2 linked regions of the Bombyx mori genome follow. The protein of the gene in region 2 interacts with the protein of the main gene of each other region in a biochemical or structural test. Links are inferred from orthologs where the notes say so. Each region holds a gene or a part of one and is shown on either strand. Other genes may lie near its edges.

The links.
Region 1: the proteins of E3 ubiquitin-protein ligase MARCHF6 (region 2) and ubiquitin-conjugating enzyme E2 J2 form a complex in vitro, tested with the Homo sapiens proteins (2 studies listed by BioGRID, with this or other methods). The link is inferred for Bombyx mori from reciprocal best matches to the Homo sapiens genes MARCHF6 and UBE2J2.

The regions. Positions count from the first base shown.
Region 1 is NC_085127.1:11,023,784-11,034,488, forward strand, and holds ubiquitin-conjugating enzyme E2 J2, read right to left. Parts: upstream 6,168-10,705; 5' UTR 4,350-6,167; coding exon 3,684-4,349; 3' UTR 2,432-3,683; downstream 1-2,431. UniProt on the Homo sapiens protein: Catalyzes the covalent attachment of ubiquitin to other proteins. Seems to function in the selective degradation of misfolded membrane proteins from the endoplasmic reticulum (ERAD).
Region 2 is NC_085117.1:16,834,119-16,844,723, forward strand, and holds part of E3 ubiquitin-protein ligase MARCHF6, read right to left. Parts: intron 9,422-10,605; coding exon 9,236-9,421; intron 8,110-9,235; coding exon 7,981-8,109; intron 7,835-7,980; coding exon 7,744-7,834; intron 4,602-7,743; coding exon 4,417-4,601; intron 3,911-4,416; coding exon 3,726-3,910; intron 1,411-3,725; coding exon 1,221-1,410; intron 982-1,220; coding exon 853-981; 3' UTR 1-852. UniProt on the Homo sapiens protein: Endoplasmic reticulum membrane-associated E3 ubiquitin ligase that plays a critical role in mitigating endoplasmic reticulum stress, the regulation of cholesterol and lipid homeostasis, and ferroptosis.

The DNA of each region.
Region 1 (10,705 bases), on a different chromosome or scaffold from region 2:
TTGAAAGACGCTCTGTCTATTTTCTCACTCTCGGTCTTCCTAAATTATATATTTTCTCTCTAGCTGTAACTAATCCGACGCGAGTTAAATTTTACTCTCGAAGAGCCTAAAGAAGTGTCACTTCAAAAATGAATAAAGCAAACTCCATTGTGTGGCCCCAAATAAGAATTTAATTCTGTGTTATGGTTATTTCAAACGCACATGTGAGGCAAGAAACACTACCCAATGACCTTTAATTTATATAAAATCGACGTAGCCCAAAACACGTCATTTCGGATCCTCCCGATCCACTAACGGTGCTTTTACCTCAAGCACCTCAAGCATCGTTCACGTCGAACCCGTCGCTTGCGACGAGTAAATTAACCCACTAAGTTTCTCAGTGGATCGCGTTTCCGATCCGGTGGTAGATTTTGCGAAGCACGGCTCTTGCTTGGGTTCGTGTTAGCAACGTCGTCAGGTTTGAGTCCCGTGAGCTCACCTACTAGTTCAGGTTACGCTGAAATAGCCTCTCACGGCTATCAGCTTAGGTAGGAAAAGCAAAAAAAATATATAGGTAAAATAGTTTTAACTAAAATATGGACTCCGACCGAACATCTAGCTCGCTCTGCTGTAGAGTAACCTCCAACTACAAGACCAAACAATATCTAAATAAGAAAACAAATAAAACGTACCTATATGTAATAATTATTATTTTATCAGTTTACTCTTGAATTTTCAACGATTCTAACTGCGACAACGAGTATTGTAGCCATCTATTTTAAGATGGGTGAACATTCTGAAGGTAAATCTTGTGTACTGTAGTTACCAAATCCTATACAGATCAACATGAATGAGGCCCTTCGTTGTTGTCGATTGACATGAGCTCAAAGTTCCATTAAGTGTCGCTGTAAAGCTAATACTCAGCGTAGTACATTTTATTTATAATAAATAACAGTAACCAAAATACACTTTTGTAGCTAGCTGTACTCAAAAATAGAAAATAGTAAAAAAATGTTTTTTTTTCCCTACCTATGCTGATAGCCTTGATAGGCTATATCAGCTTTACCCTAGCATGTAGGTGATCTCTCGGGGCTCAAACCGGAGATGTTGCTGGCCACTGGCCTAGAACATTGGCCCTAGCAAAAGCAGTGCTTCGCATAATCTACCACCAGATCGGAAACGCAACCCACTGAGAAGATCCGGCGAGAAACTCAGTGGGTGTGTCTATGGATTAATTTAATCGCCGAGCCCTTTCGTAATGATGTGTTAGGACGATTTAGCGTTCGATCCACGGTATGTAATTTCCATCGACCACGAGGGTTTTCGTGTCGTACCGCCTTCTTAAAGTGGCGCATTGATGCCGACTGTATATAATACTTACTGATCGAGTCAAGTTCCAGACCATCATGGAGATCCACATTCTTCAAAGACCATGGTACTCCGACGGCTATTTTGCAAAAACGGGATTGAATGACTTGAAGAGGTTTCAAAATTTCAAATTAGTGCGAGCGGCGTCAGCGACACTACACTTGCATAAGTCATGACCGGGCGTACGTAAGTTTTGTAGTGTCACCATAGACCTAAGTGTCACCTTATTAGTATTAAGCGAAGTAAATTGTCTTCGTAATATTATTACGAAGGGACAATTTACATTTAATGCTTATTGCAAGCATGGGTGTGATTAAGAAAACCCTTTGCTTAGTCCTGAAGATCCTGACCAGGATAATCGGACCGTTTTATTCAATTAATGTATTCTAGCATCGGCCTTGTTATGTGTGCCATAATATATATAAGTATATAGTATATAAACCAAATAAAAATAAAAATTAATTCTCAATTAATATACATATGTACCTACCTATCTTGTGGTACTTGCCTGCGGGATTCGAACTAGATTACAGTCACAGTACGAATGTATCGGGTGACTTATCATTTTCGGCTACATCGACTTATCTGGGTATTTAATAAGTATATATTTTATACATATGTGTAAGAGTCTCTGTTTCCCGTGGAATAGGAAATGGACATTTATCACAAAATAGAAATTGCTAAGTTGAAACTGAAAGTAAAAAATTGTAACGTGCTTTGAGGAGAACCCTCAGCATGGGCAGACTTGGCTGTACCTTTGGCATCACTGACGTCCATGAGCGACGGTAACTACCACCATCACGTGGGCCGTATGCATGTCTGCATATAAAAAGTGTCTTAGTAATATTTCTGGGCTGTGAGTAAATTTCGTCATAATAAAGAAAAATGTTGCAGATGAATAGAATAAAATAATATGAACCTTTGTCAACATCCTTTCCAACATTTCTTCATCTCAATAGTTCAACAATAGTTATGCATGTTCTAAAAACTATAATACGTGCTTTCCAACTTCTATGTTAATGCTGGTGAGCTCAAAACCCATTACGTATAAAGTTTAGACAAACCTAAAGGTAGATAAAATGCCTTTCATTTTCCGTACAAATTTATTAGATTTATGGTCGAAATTCGTAAACGACGACAAGGCTCATTACAAGTGATATAAATAATATTCAAGAAATCATAAAATGTACCAACATATCTTTATATGTATATATAATTTATCTCAGTGAAGACTAAATTAATCTATGTGATATTAACATTAAATGTTGGACTACAAAAGGCAAATGGGCTAGCATTTACTAACAATGACAAACCACTATATTAATTCACGAAGATTCATCACATAAAATCACAATAATTACATAGGTGTAACATATACTTAGCATAAAAACGTTTTGAACAGTATAAAGAAATTAAGCATGCATTTGAATGTGAATTCCGTAAATATAAATATTTCTGATGTGCAATCTCAGGTAAGGACATTTTTTTATAAATTGAGTTTTAATAGCTCACATTTTAGGGTCAAATCTAAATAGTATGATGATACATAACAAAACATATCTTGCTCAATTTATGGTGATTTGACATATATTCATTCAAGTCTTAAACCTTGTATTGCTTTATTATTGTGTACTTTAGCATTAAAAGGTCCATGGTTCAACTTTTTCTACTATAGAAAATCATATTTAATGCATACTGTATACAATACTGAAAATGCCTAAATATTTTGTTGAACACTACTAAGATTTGTTAAAAAAAACCTTTATTAGAAATCCTGCTTACAAAAATTTATTAGATTTCACCATATATATTTTTACATTGAAATTTAGTTTCTTAGGGAATAATTGAAAAAATTAAATAAAATCATAAAATTTAATTTACTCACGTAACAATTACTCCAATTCAATAAATTAGTTATATAGTAGTATACCTAGTTATTAATCACCATAGGTATTGCTGTCTATAGTCAGCTTTTCAAGATTCATATAAATTTGTTTCAATCTTTATTTTTAACAGCTCTTTCGGTCTTCAAATAAAGGCTTGTTGTTGAATACATTTAAAAATAAATGACACGGTAAAAGTAGCAAAACCTTAGTAGACATTCCTCATGCAATGCATGTTAAACTCTATACATTGTTACCTACATAAAATCAAGTTTTATTTAAGGTCAAACATGGGTTTATTTCAAGATTGAATAACAATTATTTACAAAATAAATTACAATATGTACATTGCATTTGTAGAGCAAATAAATGTAATTATAAACATTTAAAAAACAAAAGACCAGCCGGCAGATGTGAATTTTGTTTCTTTTGCTCAATAAGATAAATTTAAGACTATTCATATGATCCTAAAACATGTTTGACCATGTAAGTAAGGCATACAAAAGCTACAAGAACAAACAGATTTGTCAAAATACAATTCATACTAGACTGTGGCTCAGAGGTTACTTCATTTGCACCACTGTCTTGATTCAACAACATTGCCTCTTGTCGTTGTTTTAATTGCTGTTCAATCTCCTCTACATATTCAGGGAACAATTCACAAAACATTTTATTTTTTATGTTTATCTCTAGAGATTCTGCAGCCAAACATCGCTTTTGGTATTCTGAAGTTTCAATGGACCCCAATGTAGGAGTCTTCTCCAACATAAAACTCAACAGACCTGTAAGGATCGTAGAAATAGACCAAGCAGGGTTCCAAGTGTCCGGATGAAAGTCTGTAATACTGAGGCACAATCGTGTGTTTGTCTTGAACCTGCCATTCGGTGTTATCATGTAAATCGAAGGTGGTTTGAACGGAAATTCCCTTGGGAAAATAATCTTTCCATGATAATATCCCCCTTCGTAGGGACTTTTCTCCGGCCCTTTAACGACGTAATGCCATTCCAGTATGTTGGACGGCACAGGTTCGGCCGTAACATATGGTACTGGGTCATTCTTGAGCCTCAAATAATCCTGCTTCAATCTGCTAGTGGCTCCTGTCACCTTTGTTTTTGCCATGTTCACATGAATTGTTAACTTTTGAGTGTTTACAGTTCTTCGAGTAAAATGTTTTATAGCAAATGACTACATACAAAATGTTTTCATTTCTTAAAACCAATCTGTTTTAGTTAATAAATGGGTATGTAATGTACATACGACAAATAGCAATATCACAATGGCACAGAGTAGAGCAAGCAAGGTAGACATTTAACATTGTTGACAGTAATGGTACTTATAGTGCAACGTATCTCGCGTTTAAAAGAAAAGCCTAACAGACTACTCTAAAAAGTGAACAAACATGTATTGTAAAACCGATATTTAAATGAGCTACTTTTGTTTACAAAACAAAATATTTTTTGTTTGAATGGAATAGCCTTATATCCTTATCTTATCCTTATCCTTATAACCTATAATCACAAAAAAAAACTTTAAATGGAATGGACCATATGTATCAAAATAGACCGTTAAAATACCTTTTCACCTCAGCAGCTCAAATATGTAGCTTTTGCTGTGAGACAACATTGAACAAAACGCGATTTTGATTCGAGCTTGGATCAAAGTAGCTTTTTAAGTTTTCAATCTTCAGTGCCACGAACTGACATTGTTCAGCCATTAATTTGAAACATTCGAAGTTTACTGTGCTCTATCTCTTTCACATGCGTATAAAAAAGCGAGTGAAAAAACAAACTCCTTCGAAATTAGATTTTGGAATTTATTAGTTATTTCAATCTTTTCCTGTTCATCTATGTCTCCTAAGTTATGTGTTCTCACTTTCTCACTGCTGAGGTAGAAGTTATGTGTGCTACACGAGAGCAAAGTTTCTTATTGCACAAATAACTACTTAATTAATAAAACACACATTTTTTCTTAATTCATTGTTTGCATTTTCGTATAACAAAATGCAGTATCCCATAGTAACCTGTGGTTACGGCAAGGCATTCCAAGATTAAAAGATTCCTTTGGATGATTTTGGTTTTTGGTTAGCCCACCCAATAATGTGCTTTCGGTGTCAATAATCAGCGGGTAAATTTGATTTAATAAGCTTATTATTACTAGCTTAAATAAATAAGCAACGTAACACCAGAGGTTAACTTAATAGGTTAATATTCCGGACGGCCACCGCTCAGGTTTCGGCCACCACGTGTGATTTTTAGACTTCTTACTCGTTGAAACGTGGTGGCTCGAGTATTGCCGCAGTGGCTGTCGCGGAACGGGTGCTGGGATTGGTTCGAGGAAAATAACGAAGGCTTCAAGTATGGCGTTCACACGGTCCTCGTGGCTTGACCGGCGCAGGGCGTAGGAGCGAGTCTTTTCTTGTTCGACGGCTCTCTCCTCTTCTTCTGGAGAGGTCTTGACTCGTCGGCTCGCTGTCTCGAACTGAATTTGCAGTCGTGGGGTCGTCGCGTCCCCTTACGGGGGCGCGGAGCGGGCCTCGGGGAAACCCCTCTACCCGGACTTGTAGCTCCCCGCCTATTAAGGCAGGGGTGATGCACTGCGGGATGGACTGTATACAGGCTCGAGGTAAGTGGTGGGACGATTTCTGTCTTCACTTCTTCATCTTCTTTCTTCCTTCTTCTTCCGGGGGCGGCTGCTGCTCTCCTCCATATTGTTTTTTTTTTTTTTTTATTTTTTTTTTTTTTTTTTTTCTTTTTTTTTTTTTTTACAATTTTATCTTATCCTAGCTTAACCTAAAGTACACCTAACTTAATCTAACTTACATCTAAGCGACGACAGCGCGCCGCTCCTGCACTCCGTGGAGTGCCGGGACAGCGCGCGCCGTCACACCTAAACCTAATCCTAATCTAACTTAACCTAATATGGGGGAGAGAGCAAATCCGCACTCCGCGCTGCAGTCCTCTCCCCCTCTCCCCATCGTTATACAATATTGATGGGGGGGAGGACTGCAGCGGGTAAGAACACCCCATCCCAAAAGGGGGTGGGGGGTGGGGTCAAAGCCCTTCATGGAAATGAGGCTGCACCTACGGGGTGCAGCCTCCACGAGCGACTCCACACCTAGGTCCCGGGCAATAACGTCATTTCTGACGTACTGCCCGGCCCCGACGATAATGCGGAGGGAAAGACTCTGCTGGGCCTGCAACCTAGATCGCTGGGACGGCGACAACAGGTGATACCAGGCCACAGCAGCGTATGTGAGGCGGGAACGGACGTATGTCTTTTAAATGGCGAGTTTGGTCCTGGTCGGAAGCCCGGACGCAAACACCGGCCGCAACAAGAACATGGCCGCGCGGGCCTGACCGATGACTCGGTTGACGTGCGCGACCATGCTCAAAGAGCGGTCGATGTCGCATCCGAGGTACCGGACCGTGGTCCTGAACTCGACATTCACACCTCGGAGGCTGAGTTTCTTTGGGACAACTCTGATACGGACCGGACCGTAGAGTAAGGCCGCGGTCTTTCCCACATTGACCGCGACTCTCCAACGGTCCAGCCACTGGGGCAGTAAATCCAAAAGCCTCTGCATCCTCATGATGGCTGCAGAGGGGAACGGAGAGGACGAGAAGTAGGCCGAGTCGTCAGCGAACAAGGCCAACTTCACGTCCTCCTCCCACGCCCGAAGGTGACCCTCCAGGGTGGGGATGTCATTGGTATAGAGGGCGTATAGGATAGGAGATAGGACACTACCCTGGGGAACCCCGGCCGTAATGGGACGCACGGAAGACCGTGCGCCCTCGACCGCGACAAAGAAGGTTCTGCCCTCCAGATACGACCCGAGCAGTCGCACGTGAGCGTGCGGTAGGCCCGCGTCCCGCAGCTTGTGGACCAGCCCCTCGTGCCACACACGGTCGAAGGCCTTCTCGATATCGAGAAGGACCGCGACCGTGTATTGGCCCGAGTTTCGCCGGTCCGCCAAGTGATGCAGGACACGGGTCAGTTGCAGAGTCGTCGAGTGGCCGCTTCTAAAGCCGAATTGCTCCGGCCTGAGGAGAATATACGGCGATATTCTCCTCAGGAGCAGCCGCTCGAACAACTTGCCCACGTGCGAGAGCAAGGTAATCGGTCGGTAACTGGAGGGCTTTCTCCTGTCTTTGCCGGGTTTGGGCAAGACGATGATCTTGCCCAGTTTCCAAGTTCCAGGGAAGTGTCCTACCCGGAGAATGGAATTAAACAATCGTGTCATTGCTGACACGATTGAGGGAGGGAGGTTTTGTAAGGCGAGGGGAGGAATACCGTCCTCGCCGGGGGCTTTGCGCCTCTTCATCAACTTGATGAGGAGGCGCACCTCGCTGGGAGTGACTAAGTCTTCATCTCCCAGCTCGACTCCCGGCGATTCCGGTTTGAGGAGTTGGATTACGCTCTCTGACACCTCGCGATGGAATGCAGCCATCGAGGGTGCAGAGACATTCGGAGTGAACTGCCGCTCCAGCGAGTTGGCCAGGACTTCAGCACGAGCCAACGGTGTAAAACACCGTCTTCCCCCCTCGTCCTCCAAGGGGCAAGTGGGGGAAGGCTTGTTGGTGAGCCGGCGACAGATGCGGTGAAGGGGGACCATCGTACGGTCGTCGGACGCGTCCAACAGTCCCCCCTCCCAGGAATCACCCCGGTAAGTCCGCATCTTAGTCGCCAGCTCACCCTCAAGTCGGTTGAGCTCGCGCTTAATCCTGGGACACCTAGATGTCGCCCAGAGCCTCCTCAGTGCCCTCTTCCGACGAATTAACGTCTTGAGGTGCACCGGGAGTTCCGCTCTGGGCCCCCCGCTGGGTACCAGAGTCGTCACTTGGTCCAGGGCTCCCCTGATGGTGTCGACGAGACGGGAGGCCGCCGTGTCGACCTCATCAGGGGTAGACGGGTCTTGAAACAAGGATTGGTCGGCCAGCAGTCCCGTAAAGGACTGCCAGTCGACCCTAGGCCTGAGAGGGGATGTCGCGACCCGAGTGAGCCCCAAACCCACCGTGACCAAGATCGGTAGGTGAGGGGTACTCAGGTCGTACAGTGCCTCTATCGCTAGCGGGCACCGTAGCCCCTTGTGAACACACACGTCCAAAACGTCCGGTTGGTACCGGGCCAACGTTGGAACGTGGGTGGGTTCGTTGGGGCCGACCACGCAGTAGTCCCCCCTTTCGGCATCCTCGTACAATCGCCTTCCGGGCGGCATGATGATTCGGGAGCCCCAAGCGACATGTTTCGCATTGAGGTCCCCGACCACCAAGGCCGGATGGCGATCATGGTTCAAGGCCCGTCTAATATCGTCCTCGACAAAATCAGGACCCGGGGGTCGATACGCGGCATAAATCCGCAATTCGGCTCCCGGTACGTGGACCCTCACCCCGACCGTTCTGGTAGAGGCGAAGGTCAGTAGCTCAAGCTCCTCGTGCACCACGTCCCTCCTGACGAGCGCCGCAGTGCCCCTGAACGGGCGCCCGTTGGAGGTCAGTTCGTCCCGTCGGTACACGAAGTAGTTGGGCATCCTAAAATCTTGTCGAGGTTTAAGCTTGGTCTCGCCCAGGAGGATAACCTGCGGGTCATACTCCTGGGCGAGTCGGATGAGCTCCGACCTCCGGGACCCTATCCCGTCGGGGTTCCAGTAGATGATGCGCAGCTCCTGGCTAGCCATTGAGCTGCGCAATCATCCGGTAGAACCCCGCGAGCAAGGCCCCGAAGGGACTGGCTCCCGAGGCGATCTCTCGGATCACTCCGGAGATCACCTCGGACAGTTTCTCCCACAGGGAGAGGAGCCAGGCAGCGAAGCCGGCAGGCTGCGTGTCCTGTCTGCCGCTGCGCCGCTCCCTCTGCGGGCGGGGTGGTAGTGGGGGCTGAGTCATACCCACGTCGACCGAATTTTCTTGGGGCTGAGCGTGGATTGCAATTGGTGTTGGTATTGTATTGGTTGTAGGGAGGGGCGTTGCTTCTGTGACCTCCATTGGCACAGAAATTGGAGTTGGAGTCATTCTCTCTACTGGGGTGGGTGGGATATTGGCGGCTAGTCTTTGCGCTCGCTTTCTCTCTTTGGCTTTCTCTTTCTTTTTTTTATTTTTTTTATTTTTTTTTGATATAATTCTTGGTGCCGGTTGAGGTCTAACGGCCGGTCGGGCAGCGTTAGCCGGTGCCATCAGTGTGGAGGCTGCTGGATTCGACTCCACTAGGTTGGGCTGCCGTGAGTGTAAGGTGGGAGTTGGGGCGAGAATTGGGGCTTGGGACGATTTCCCTTTGCCCTTGCCCTTACTTGATACGACTCTAGCGGCCGGAACTTGAGTCGAAGTTGCTTGAGATGGTGTTGGTACTGCAGGAGCTGGAGGCCTCCGGGCGCGCGGCACCGGTGGTACGGGAGGGGGGACGGTAAAACCCAACATCCTCGCCCTCCTACGGTAGGCCACGCACCGTTTGTCAACGGCTGCGTGGTCCTTTCCGCAGTTGGCGCAGGTGAAGGGCCCCTCCCTCGGCCTCGGGCAGTTCGCCACGATGTGCTCACCCGCACAACGCACACAGCGGACCGCTCGGTGGCAATTGGTGGAGGCGTGACCGAAGGCCTGGCAGCGGTGACACTGCGCCGGCCCACGGCTTGGCCGCCATCCCTCAACTGACACCCCCGGCAGGTACAGCAGTTCTTCAACTGCGTACAAGCGGGCGAGGCCATCCTTAGAGAGGTGGTCGAGGGTAACGTAAAATACGCACCCCGGCCTCCCTCTCTTAGCCCGTATGCATCGGGCATAGCGAGCCGGAAACCCCAGCTCCTTCAAGGAATTTGTGATTTCTGCCGCGTCGGTGTCGGCAGGTAGTCCGCGAATAGCCACCCTTGTCGGGATGTCCTCCTCCAACGCGTAGCAATACCATTTGATGGCACTGTCCGCTGAGGAGACCCCGGCAAGGTAGGCCTGGACCACTCTATATTCCTCTGCCGACGCTGGCAGAAATCTGAACCCTGTTCCGTAAGGGCGCACGGAGGGTGCCCTCCCCAAGCGCTCCCTGATGGCCGCCATATGGCGGGACCAATTTGGGAGCACTTCCACCATAATAGGTGGATGACGGCGGGGCTCCTCTTTAGTGCGCGACCTATTTGGGGCAGTGGAACTCTGGTGGGTGTGTTGTTGGTGTTGTTGGGTGGGTACGGGTCGCGTGGCTGCTACAGTCGCGTATGAGGTGGAGGGGACTGGTGAGGGGTTTGGGATAGGGATTGGTTTGGAATTGGAGACGGAGGGTTCAAGGTCCATGTACCTAGTCGATTCTAGGTTGCCCACCATGCAGCCTGTGGTGGGGGCACCTCTTGGCCTATCCGTTGGAATGGGGGAGATGGTAGGAGAAGGAGACCGAGGAGGCGTACGCAGCTGCTTGGCTGGTGGGCTCTCCACTGTCCCTAAACACTTCCTCGGCTTGGGAATTGGTTTGGAGGGGGGAGAGGACTCCACCCTCGAAGAGGA
Region 2 (10,605 bases):
AACACAGTAAACGTCAGTTGACTTCGTCTAATAAAAAATCCGACTATAAATTGTGACTTCGTACGACAAGAACGGACATTGTTCCTGTCATTACAGCGATGCCGTTACAATCGCTCCTTAAAGTGAGCTTGTACTGACAAGACTTTTAAAAATGGAAGCAGTACATTTTTTTTTTAATTTCAATTAGCCTAATAGTATAGTCTGTTACACCGCCGCCCGAGAAATATCGTTTTTTTTTCACTGGTAGGCAGTGGTGTAACCGACGGGTTTTTTTTATTAAACCCCGTATTCGTGCTAAAATAATTTTGTACTGTTATTATTGAGGACGACACGCGTGCAACACTCACTGCCGCTTCGATCGACCCGTGGAACGGTGCTTTGTTAGAGTAGCGATTTTCTTTTTTTTTTAAGGAATTTTATGACCTGGTAACTAAGACCTTTAGGTCAAAGTAACGATTTTCCGGCGACGCGCCGACGACGACCGTTGGCAGTTAAGGTGACAATAAAATTTTCGTTGTATTAGAATAGTTCAGAAGAGAAGGTTAGAGAACGAGGTGAAGACGGTAAAATTTATGCTAATAATTAATACAAATTGAATCGTATATAGATATTTTTAAAATTGCTTTTCATTATACAGGTCGATGTGGGAACAAATAAAATATCAGTTCAATTATTTTTTATCTTTTTGTTTCCTTTACTAAAAGCAACCTTTTTATTTATCGTTCTTAATGGGAAAGGAGGAAAGTACGAGAGAAGTTTCGACTTCAGAATCGTCGAGAAAACGCCGCTCCTAGACAGAGGCCCTTAGAATGAGATCGATATAAATTTTTAGAGGCACGGAGCGAACAGGCTTCAGTTTGTCGACGTGACGGCACTGCTGTGCTGCTGCTTCTGTCTCCGGTGATCGTAGTTCACGAGCCGCTGACCTACCAGGTACTTGTCGTTCTTTATGTGTTCGTATAGTTTTCTGAATTGGCGGATCTGCGAATAAAGATCCGTTCGTATTTATTTAATACTAGCTCCATAGATATCTAATACTATACTAGTGGTCGCCAAGTAGTCGAAATTCGACTAGAATTAATTGAAATTATAAGTTTGAAAATTATTAAGGTTCTATTGTCAAATACTTCTGTAGTTACAGATCTCGCCAAAACGTAACGTTTTACGTAACATAGATATTATATAGGCGGTAGTGATGGTGGTGGTGGTGGTGGTGTTACCTGGAAGGCCGCTAGCGAGGCGAAGAGCGCGGCGAGGAGCAGCGCGGGGTAGAGGCGGCGCACGAGCAGGTTGCGCTGGGCGGCCCCTGACACCAGCACGGGCGCCACGCTGTGCGCCGCCGCGTACGGCACCGCCAGCGCCAGCCCCAGCCACCGCACCAGCGGGGCACCCACCGACCCCACGATAAACCTACACACACATGCACCATCAAATTATACCTATTGGAACCACACAAACAAACAACAATGTTCAAAAAACAAAGAGCTACTTAAGTTAAAAATGAATAATTAAATAGTTAGGGGATATATTATAATCAACGTTACTTGTTTTGCAAATCAATAAACCAAAGAGCCGACATACACAAATAAGAGACTTCGCGAATAACAAAACCGTCAAAGCAGTAATTAATAGGACATCTCAGATATATATTCATCTCTTTCCTGCACTAAATCAAACTGATGTTCCAACATTCGCACGACGTAGATGTCTAGGTTTTTCTTAGGCCACCTCGAAAAGATTCGAAATCCTCGTTTTGCACTTAAGACGTAAATTTAAATAAAAACGATAATTCAAACAATTTTTTTTTCTCCTACCTACGCCGAAAGTTCGGTTTTCCTCCCGCTGTACAGGGAAGAAAGTCTAACTTTTACTCCCGCTGTACAGGGTTAAAAGTGTAACTTCTCCTCCCTGGGTACTACAAGTGCACATGCGCGTCAGTGTCTACGTCTGCTCTCACGCATCTAAAATTCTCGGCCATTGTTGTGCTCGGGTAATTTGCAATATTGTGTTTAGTGTAAAGGTGAAATAAACAAAAGACAATAAAATTTAATAGTGAAAGTATTAAACAAAGATGAGTTCATCAGACAGTTCTTATTTAATTAGTAGTAGTTTATTTAAAAATTAAAAAACAGTTAAATTGTTTTTTATGAGTATGGGGAGACTCTACCCCCCCTACCCCCTACCAGGGCTTCGACCCTGGACCCCGGCTCGGTACTCTACGAACTTTCGACCTAGTAGGAGAAAAAATAGTACGTGCACCGTGGGAAAAAAGCAGGACATCTAATCCCGCGTGTTTGCCATTTTACACCCGGGTGGAGATGACCTAATTTTCTCCCTTGGTGCACAATTTACTATTTTTATTCAAGCAATGAAAAAAGATGTAGTATATTTTTCAAGTCAAGTTGAACCACGAACTAAAACCTACTATATCATACGTTCACCGTATTCGTTGTTTATTAGCGTTTCTGTTAGTATCACGTTATTTTTCACTCTAAAATGACATCACATGTAGTGAAATTACATTTTTTTTTCCTACCTAAGCTGGTAGACTTGAGAGGCTATTCCAGCGTAACCTTCACTAGTAGGTGAGCTCACGGGGCTCAAACCTGACGACGTTACTAACACGAACCCTAGCAAGAGCCGTGCTTCGCAAAATCTACCACCGGATCGGAAACGCGACCCACTGAGAAGATCCGGCGAATAACTCAGTGGGCTGTGTCTATGGGTTAATTTACTCGTCGAGCCCTTCGTCGCAAGCGACGGGTTCGACGAGAACGGTGACCGGTGCTTGAGGACCTAGAAGCACCGTTAGTGGATCGGGAGGATCAGAGATGACGTGTGAAATTACATACCAACCGAGAAATGTAAAGGTTGGCTAGTTACTTCGAAAAAATTAGACGTCTCCGCGCTACCTTATCTTATCAATACGCGATTCCTAAGATACGCCCACAGCGTCACTAGATATGCAAACATTTCAAAGCTCCTGCTTCAAACGAGGCTTGGGAAGAGTACTTTTTATTTTTTTATTGCTTAGATGGGTGGACGAGCTCACAGCCCACCTGATGTCAAGTGGTTACTGGAGCCCATAGACATCTACAACGCAAATGCGCCACACACCTTGAGATATAAGTTCTAAGGTCTCAGTATCGTTACAACGGCCGCTCCACCCTTCAAACCGAAACGCATTACTGCTTCACGGCAGAAATAGGCGGGGTGGTGGTACCTACCCGTGCGGACTCACAAGAGGTCCTACCACCAGTGATTACGCAAATTATTATTTTGCGGGTTTGATTTTTAATTACACGATGTTATTCCTTCACCGTGGAAGTCAATCGTGAACATTTGTTGAGTACGTATTTCATTAGAAAAATCGGTACTTGCCGGAGGGATTCGAACACCGGTGCATCGCAACAACGAATGCACCGGACGTCTTATCCTTTAGGCCGCGACGACGTACTTAATGGTAGGCAGCGGCTTGGCTCTGCCCCTGGCAATGCTGACGTCCATGAGCGACGCTGACCACTTACCATCAGGTGGGCTGTATGCTCGTCTGCCTACAAAGGCAATAATTATACCTTAGAATTTATATCTCAAAGTGGGTGGCGCATTTACGTTGTAGATGTCTATGGGCTCCAGTAACCACTTAACACCAGGTGGGCTGTGAGCTCGTCCACCCATCTAAGCAATAAAAAACAAAATAAAAAAAAAACAAAAATAAAACAAACCTTAAATCCATTTCTCTGATGCCGTCCCGGTACGCTTTCTCGAGGGCACGGCGCATGCTCCAATCGGGTCCCATCATCGTGAGGGCGCACATTATCTTCGTATACAGCACGCCCAGAGCCCAATCTTGCCACACGAATAACACAGGGGACTGCTCCAAGGGAACGCTCAGTGGTATTACGAGAACCTAGGTAGAAAGTCAACTTAAAGACACACACCTAAAGACCGATCTTAGAAACGAAAAATATTATGAGATATAATTTAAGCTATCAGCTTAGGTAGGAAAAAACAAAATGTGTGCAATTCACACGTGGTAGAAGTGAAACCTTCCAAAATTAAAATACAATTATCCTAAACGTCTTAAGTATATGTAAAATTTTGTCATTAGTAAATAATTGTAAGGTAGCGCCCTCTGTGAATTGATATTTTAATTTCACGTATAATCCTAAATTAAAATTCACTACAAGAGCTTTCATACACACGTTAGTATTAAAAAATCTCACAGATGGCGCTGTATTAAATAGTATGTATATTTCTGTCTCATTCTTTGCTGGCTTCATCCTACACATTTTTGTATTTGTGTCTCTTACCTGTCGTTTTTTTCCGTTGCATCCGGTTTGAAATCACAACGATTCTAAAGAAGTTTTCACTTCAAAAAAATGATCCAAAAGTGTAGATAATGTTGTAACTGACCAGTTCGAGCAGCAAGCCGAACATGAGCGGCACCAGCCCGAGCAGTAGCACGGCGGCGAGCGCGGCGCGGGCGGCCGTGCGGGCCCACACCGCGGCGCGCGACCACAGGCCCCCGCGCGCCCCGCCCCGCGCCCACCCCGCCGCCGCCACGCCCGCCCGCCCCGCCGCCCAGCTCACGTACATACCTGCACAGGACGTACTGTCATGACGGGGTGGATCCAGGAGCTCATTTTAAATAAATTTTAATAAATTTAAATTGAAAATAGTGTAAAAAAATTATATTTTATTGTAAAAAAAGCGTGGGGTACATGGGTGTTTGTTATTAGTTATAAATATTTTTCTGACAGATATGAGTAGAAGAATTATTATTTCAATCTATACTAATATTATAAAGAGGAAAGATTTGTTTGTTTGTTTGTTTCGAATAGGCTCCGAAACTACTGGACCGATTTGAAAAATTCTTTTTCCATTAGAAGCCGACACTGTCCCTGATGAACATAGGCTACTTTTTTTTTATTTAATTTTTTTGGTTTCATGTATGTTTTAATGTTTCCGAAGCGAAGCGAGGGCGGGTCGCTAGTAATCTATATATTAATACGTGAAGCAAAAACTTTGTATCCCTTTTTACGAAAATTGCGCTGACGATAGAGTATGAAATTTTCCACACTTATACAGAATATAGAGAAGAAGTGCACAATGCTAATATTTTTTTAAATAATGCATAAAAGATACAGTAAATCAATAAAGAAAACATTACACACACTACATACCATGTATTTGACGCACACACGCATGCATACTATTTATTGTCAAACTTTTGTTCTTGACGTCTGTGGTCAAATTGAGGATAGATTAAATATTGTTTTTCTTTATTGATATTTTTTAATAGTGTAGCCTTGGCGAAATTTGTGATTATAGAAGTATAAAATACAATCATAATAGTGTACAAACTTACAATTCCAATTAATTATAGTCGAATTTCGATTACTGCGGGACATCTAGTATCTTTAATGGCACACCACGCTTTTTTTTAAATAAAATATATATTTTTTTATACTATTTTCAATTTAAATTTATTACAATTTATTTTCTATTTTTTAGTTAAATTTTCTATAAAAGAGAGTTTTTAAAGCTATTAAGTACTTTAACATCAATTCCTGCCTTATCGACTATAGATAAAAATTATATAAATTGGCAAAAATCTTAATTTTCAAATTGAATAATGGAATAATCTTATCAAATTAGTGTATTGTCATCGGTCCTTGATAAATCTACAAAGTTTGAATGAATTCTGGCCGTTTAAAGTGGGTCAAAATCGCGTCTAAAGATGCGCGACAAGTGAAGCTAATACAAAGCGTGTAAAAAGGAAACTGTGGCTGACACGGAGTCTTTGAAGAGAGAGAGAGAGAGTTTGAAGTCGCCGTGGCCTAAAGGATAAGACGACCGGTGTATTCGTATCGAGCGATGCAACGGTGTTCGAATCCCGCAGGCGGGTACCAATTTTTCTAATTAAATACGTATTTAAGAAACCTTCACGATTGACTTCCACGGTGAAAGGAATAACATCGTGTAATAAAAATCAAACCCGCAAAATTATAATTTGCGTAATTACTGGTGGTAGGACCTCTTGAGTTCGCACGGGTAGGTACCACCACCCCGCCTATTTCTGCCGTGAAGCAGTAATGCGTTTCGGTTTGAAGGGTGGGGCAGCCGTTGTAACTATACTGAGACCTTAGAAATCAATCTCAAGGTGAGTGGCCGCATTTACGTTTGTAGATGTATATGGGCTATAATAAGCACTTAACACCAGGTGGGCTGTGAGCTCGTCCACCCTTCAAAGCAAGGAATAAAGAGTTTATTTTATAAAAGAAATAGTAACAAACGATGTGTGTTTCCGCTACTTAAGCCAATTCTGTTCTGCCGCGCTTTAGAAATAAATCGTCTTTTGTTTTATTCCGAGATTGTAGTTATTGTTTTTATTTGATTCTAGTATACTAAATGAAATGTTAATGAATGTAATATGGATGCAAAATCTGAAGTAAATGAAATAAATAAAATATAGAGACGATGCATTCAGGAATGCCTTAGTCTGCATTATTATTTATATTGCATTATTATTGAGGAACATATTATTATGTAACAGTACCACTCAACCTATATCTATGCATCTATATATGCAAACACATCTTTCAAAGGAATTGTCACAAATTTCAGGACATCAAATTAACTTGAAAACTTGCAAGCGTACCGTGGTCAAGGACCGTTGACATTATATCAAAACCAATTTAAAAAAAAAAAAAAAAAATTCGACAAAAAAAGATTAGTTGAGCTAACTATTATGTTTTTTATGTTTTTAAATAGCATTTTTGTTCCCTTTCTCTTTTGTTTTTATTTATTTATTTATTATTTCGATCCGTTTTTAGTTTTCAGAAGAAAAAAAAAACACTAAATTAAGATCGTCATTGTACTTTTCAATGTATATGTTAACTATTTTATTGACATCTTTATATACAAATAAAGTAAAGTGTAACTAAAAATATCCACATTCATTGAGTTAAAATGTACATTATAGTGTTTGTTACCCGTAACAGTAAACATAACCCAGTAACCAATGAACTAAAGAGACAAACAAATTAAACATTACCGGCTTTTTATTCAGAACGCAATGGAACGCAAATAAATATTAACTGAAGCGCGACCGAGGGAGGTTGTTGACCCCAAGTTTTGTTCGCCTCGATTCGACTTTTCGATATGGAACAAACTGTTTCATTTTCATGAAACCTATATCCAGCGAATAGGAACATACGCTACGTGCATCTGATAACATATTATATTAAATTAGGGAGGCAAACAAACGCAATTCGATCGAATTATCGCTTTTTTAAGTGCTCTGATCATTTTAACCGAGTTTATTATATTCGTTTAAAATTGTTTTTGTAACGAAGTTCCTTACGGGACGATGCGGAGGGGTATCCTAACCGGGAAATAACGTCCGTAACGTAAGATTTTTATTAGTAATGCACACAGTGTACGACTTAACTTTGTTATAACGTACAAAAAAGAACATATTTTTTTATCATTCATTGACCACGATCTCAGAGCGTTCGTTTGCGCAATACACCAACCAACTCTTATGCAAAAAACCGTGAATGAAGTGTACCACAATAAGTTCGCACGTTACCGAATGAACGTGGGTTGTTGCGAAACCTCCAGTTTTATTTTCTTTATACCTCGAGTAGAACTTTAAATTAATATTTTTATAATAAGGAACTTCGTTCCTATCCGGTGTCCCACGACACCACACATATTTTTTTTTTGTTTACTTACCGCATGCAGCGGTATACAGTTCGTGAACTCTCTCAGCCGCCTTAGGCATCCACAGCGCCATCACCTTTCTGCCGATCGCTACTGGAATTACCTGAAATTAAAATCAAATTATCACACAAAAAATTATTCATTGATCTAATACCTCTTACAGACGAATTTCCTAACGTAAAAAAAATCATTAATGTAAAAAAAACTGTCGAAAATAATACATTACAACAATAATAACGTTAGGCTTACAAGGGTCATTGCACTCGCTAACACGAGCGAAATAGAGACCAGCACAAGCAGCGCGGCCAACCTTAGCGGGAACCACGACACGCGGATGTAGGGCTCCACCGCCGCTGGACCGTCGCGACGCATCAGGGCCTGGGAGAAAGAGACAACATATTAAACTTTTACCGAGGCGTATTTGAAGCACGCACCACAAGGTACCACCATATCGCTCGTTTCCACCGCGAAGCAGTCACTTGACCCGCCTTTAAGCGTAGGACAGTCATTACAAAACGTAATTGAAATTTTCTCATGTCTTAAGAGAGATAACGCACGGTCTATGGGCTTATCCGAATTAGACATGTGTCGTTCGTTCAATTTTAGAGATTCAGATCAATACTGACCTGTTGACAAAATGATCCGGTTCGTACGACGCGTTCAGTCGAACGTTTCGAACGTCGAACGTTCAGTATCACATCAATTTATGACGTAATTAATATTATCAGGTCACTGGCTGGATAAAGTTTAGTATTGAATAACAGTTTAAAGGAACTGTTATAGTTCAATTGTTTACGTGAGATCAAAACAATACAAAGGCGTTATGTGTCATTATGCGACAACGAACGACTAACCGAGATGGGCGCGGGGCGAGACGCGGCAACCCGAAATGATCCGAATGACTGTCCTATCAGTCGTATGGTTCTTTTCTTCTGATTCGTAGGTTTTGTTAAACGAGTCGATCTAGTGAACGACTCATATTTTTTGAAGTGAACCTATCGTTCGCGCGGATTTTGAGACCCGGGTCGTTTGATTCGTTCGTTCGCGAACGACACATATCTAATCCGAATAGCACTTTAAAACCATCTCAAAAAAAATGGCTCATTCACATTTATGAAAAATGTTTTTTTTTTTTTTTCGTTGATATTATGGCACTCATGACTTGAAGGTCTTAGTGACCAGGTCATAAAATCCCTTAAAAAAATAATGATGGCACTAGTGACGTGGTGCATAGAGACAAGATACATGTGACTAGGAGATATATGGAAATGGTAGTGCAAGGTAGAGGGGGAAGAGGTCAACCGAAGAAAACATGGATAGTGTGTGAATGACGATAAGAGAGAGAGAGAGAGCAGTGAGTGTTGAGATGACGGCTGATAGAAGAGAATGGAAGAGAAAAATTAGCTGTGCCGACTCACCTAGTGGAATAAGGTGAAGAAGAAGATTATAGCACTAGTATATGCCTTCCTATTACACTGTCTATAAAAACAATTATTCAGCTTACTTGATGAGCGACACCGAGTTGATGAGGCAGATGTGGGGGCGGATTAGGATCGGCCTGTCGCGATATCTCGCCAAGCAGATACGATCTCAAGCCGAGGAGACCAGAAGCGCACACGCACCAAGCTCGCACCGCCATCTTTAACCACGTCCTCGTGTGAGATTGCTCCAGAAGAGCTGGAAGGATCACCTGCCGAAAATAAAGGCGGTTAGCTATTTGTTATCGTCGATTGACCGTCTTCAATACCACTTGTACGATTTTTTTTATTGCTTAGTAGAGTGGACGAGCTTACAGCCCACCTGGTGTTAAGTGGTTACTGGAACCCATAGACATCCATAACGTAAATGCGCCACCCACCTTGAGATATAAGTTTTAAGTAAAGTTCCAACGGCTGCCCCACCCTTCAAACCGAAACACATTACTGCTTCACGGCGGAAATAGGCAGGTTACCTGCCTCTCAAGAGGTCCTACCACCATAACTGACTTGGCTAACAAAATATGAATATTCAACTGCCTACAGCTTTTACTGCTACATTTATGCAAAGTTATAGTAAAACTTTAATACATGTTTTCTAACGTTAGGACCTTTTTTTTATTGCCTCTAAAAATTTCTTCTTAGTATACAGCGTGTAAGCTGTTAGCATTGCCAAGTAGTTACCAGCAAGTAAGTCATACGCTCATCTCCTACAAATGGCTTTCATAAAGTTCATCGACTCCGCTTAGCTACTATACAAATACATTTAGGATTTTCGAATAACCTCGAATGACCTTTATTCAATTAGATTACTGTTTTAGTAAAAAAAGATTTAAAAATCACTTAATCACATTAAACAATCAATAGAATTATTTAATGCTGTATAGAGTAAGAGTTCATTGATTTAGGACCGTTATAAATGTAAAGCAACAATTAAGTAGTTTACTTTAGTGAATCATCATTAAAATAAATTCGCATTTTAAATAACTGTTCTACTTCTAGTTTCATTTCGGGACCTTTATACACAAATTGCTAAAAACAAAGCCAGATATGGAAGTGGCGTGTTCTCTGAATATTTATACACACTCAGTTATAAGCCGCAACGAGTCTATAAAACATTACATCAAGCAACATAAATGAAAATATTAAAATGTTCCCAAATCAGAATAAACATAAAATGCAAAGAATATCAATGTCTGAAGTATAATTCATGAACAACACCTTGTTCTAATGAATGTATGCAATTTAAATGGCATACTTCCTTCGACTTATTAAGTATATGACATAATGTGGTTAATGATATTATTCCTATTTGTTTCAAAATGTTTCTAATTACTGAAAATAATTAGTCACCATATTTATTTAAACCTCCTTAAAACATTACACTGAAAACATATCA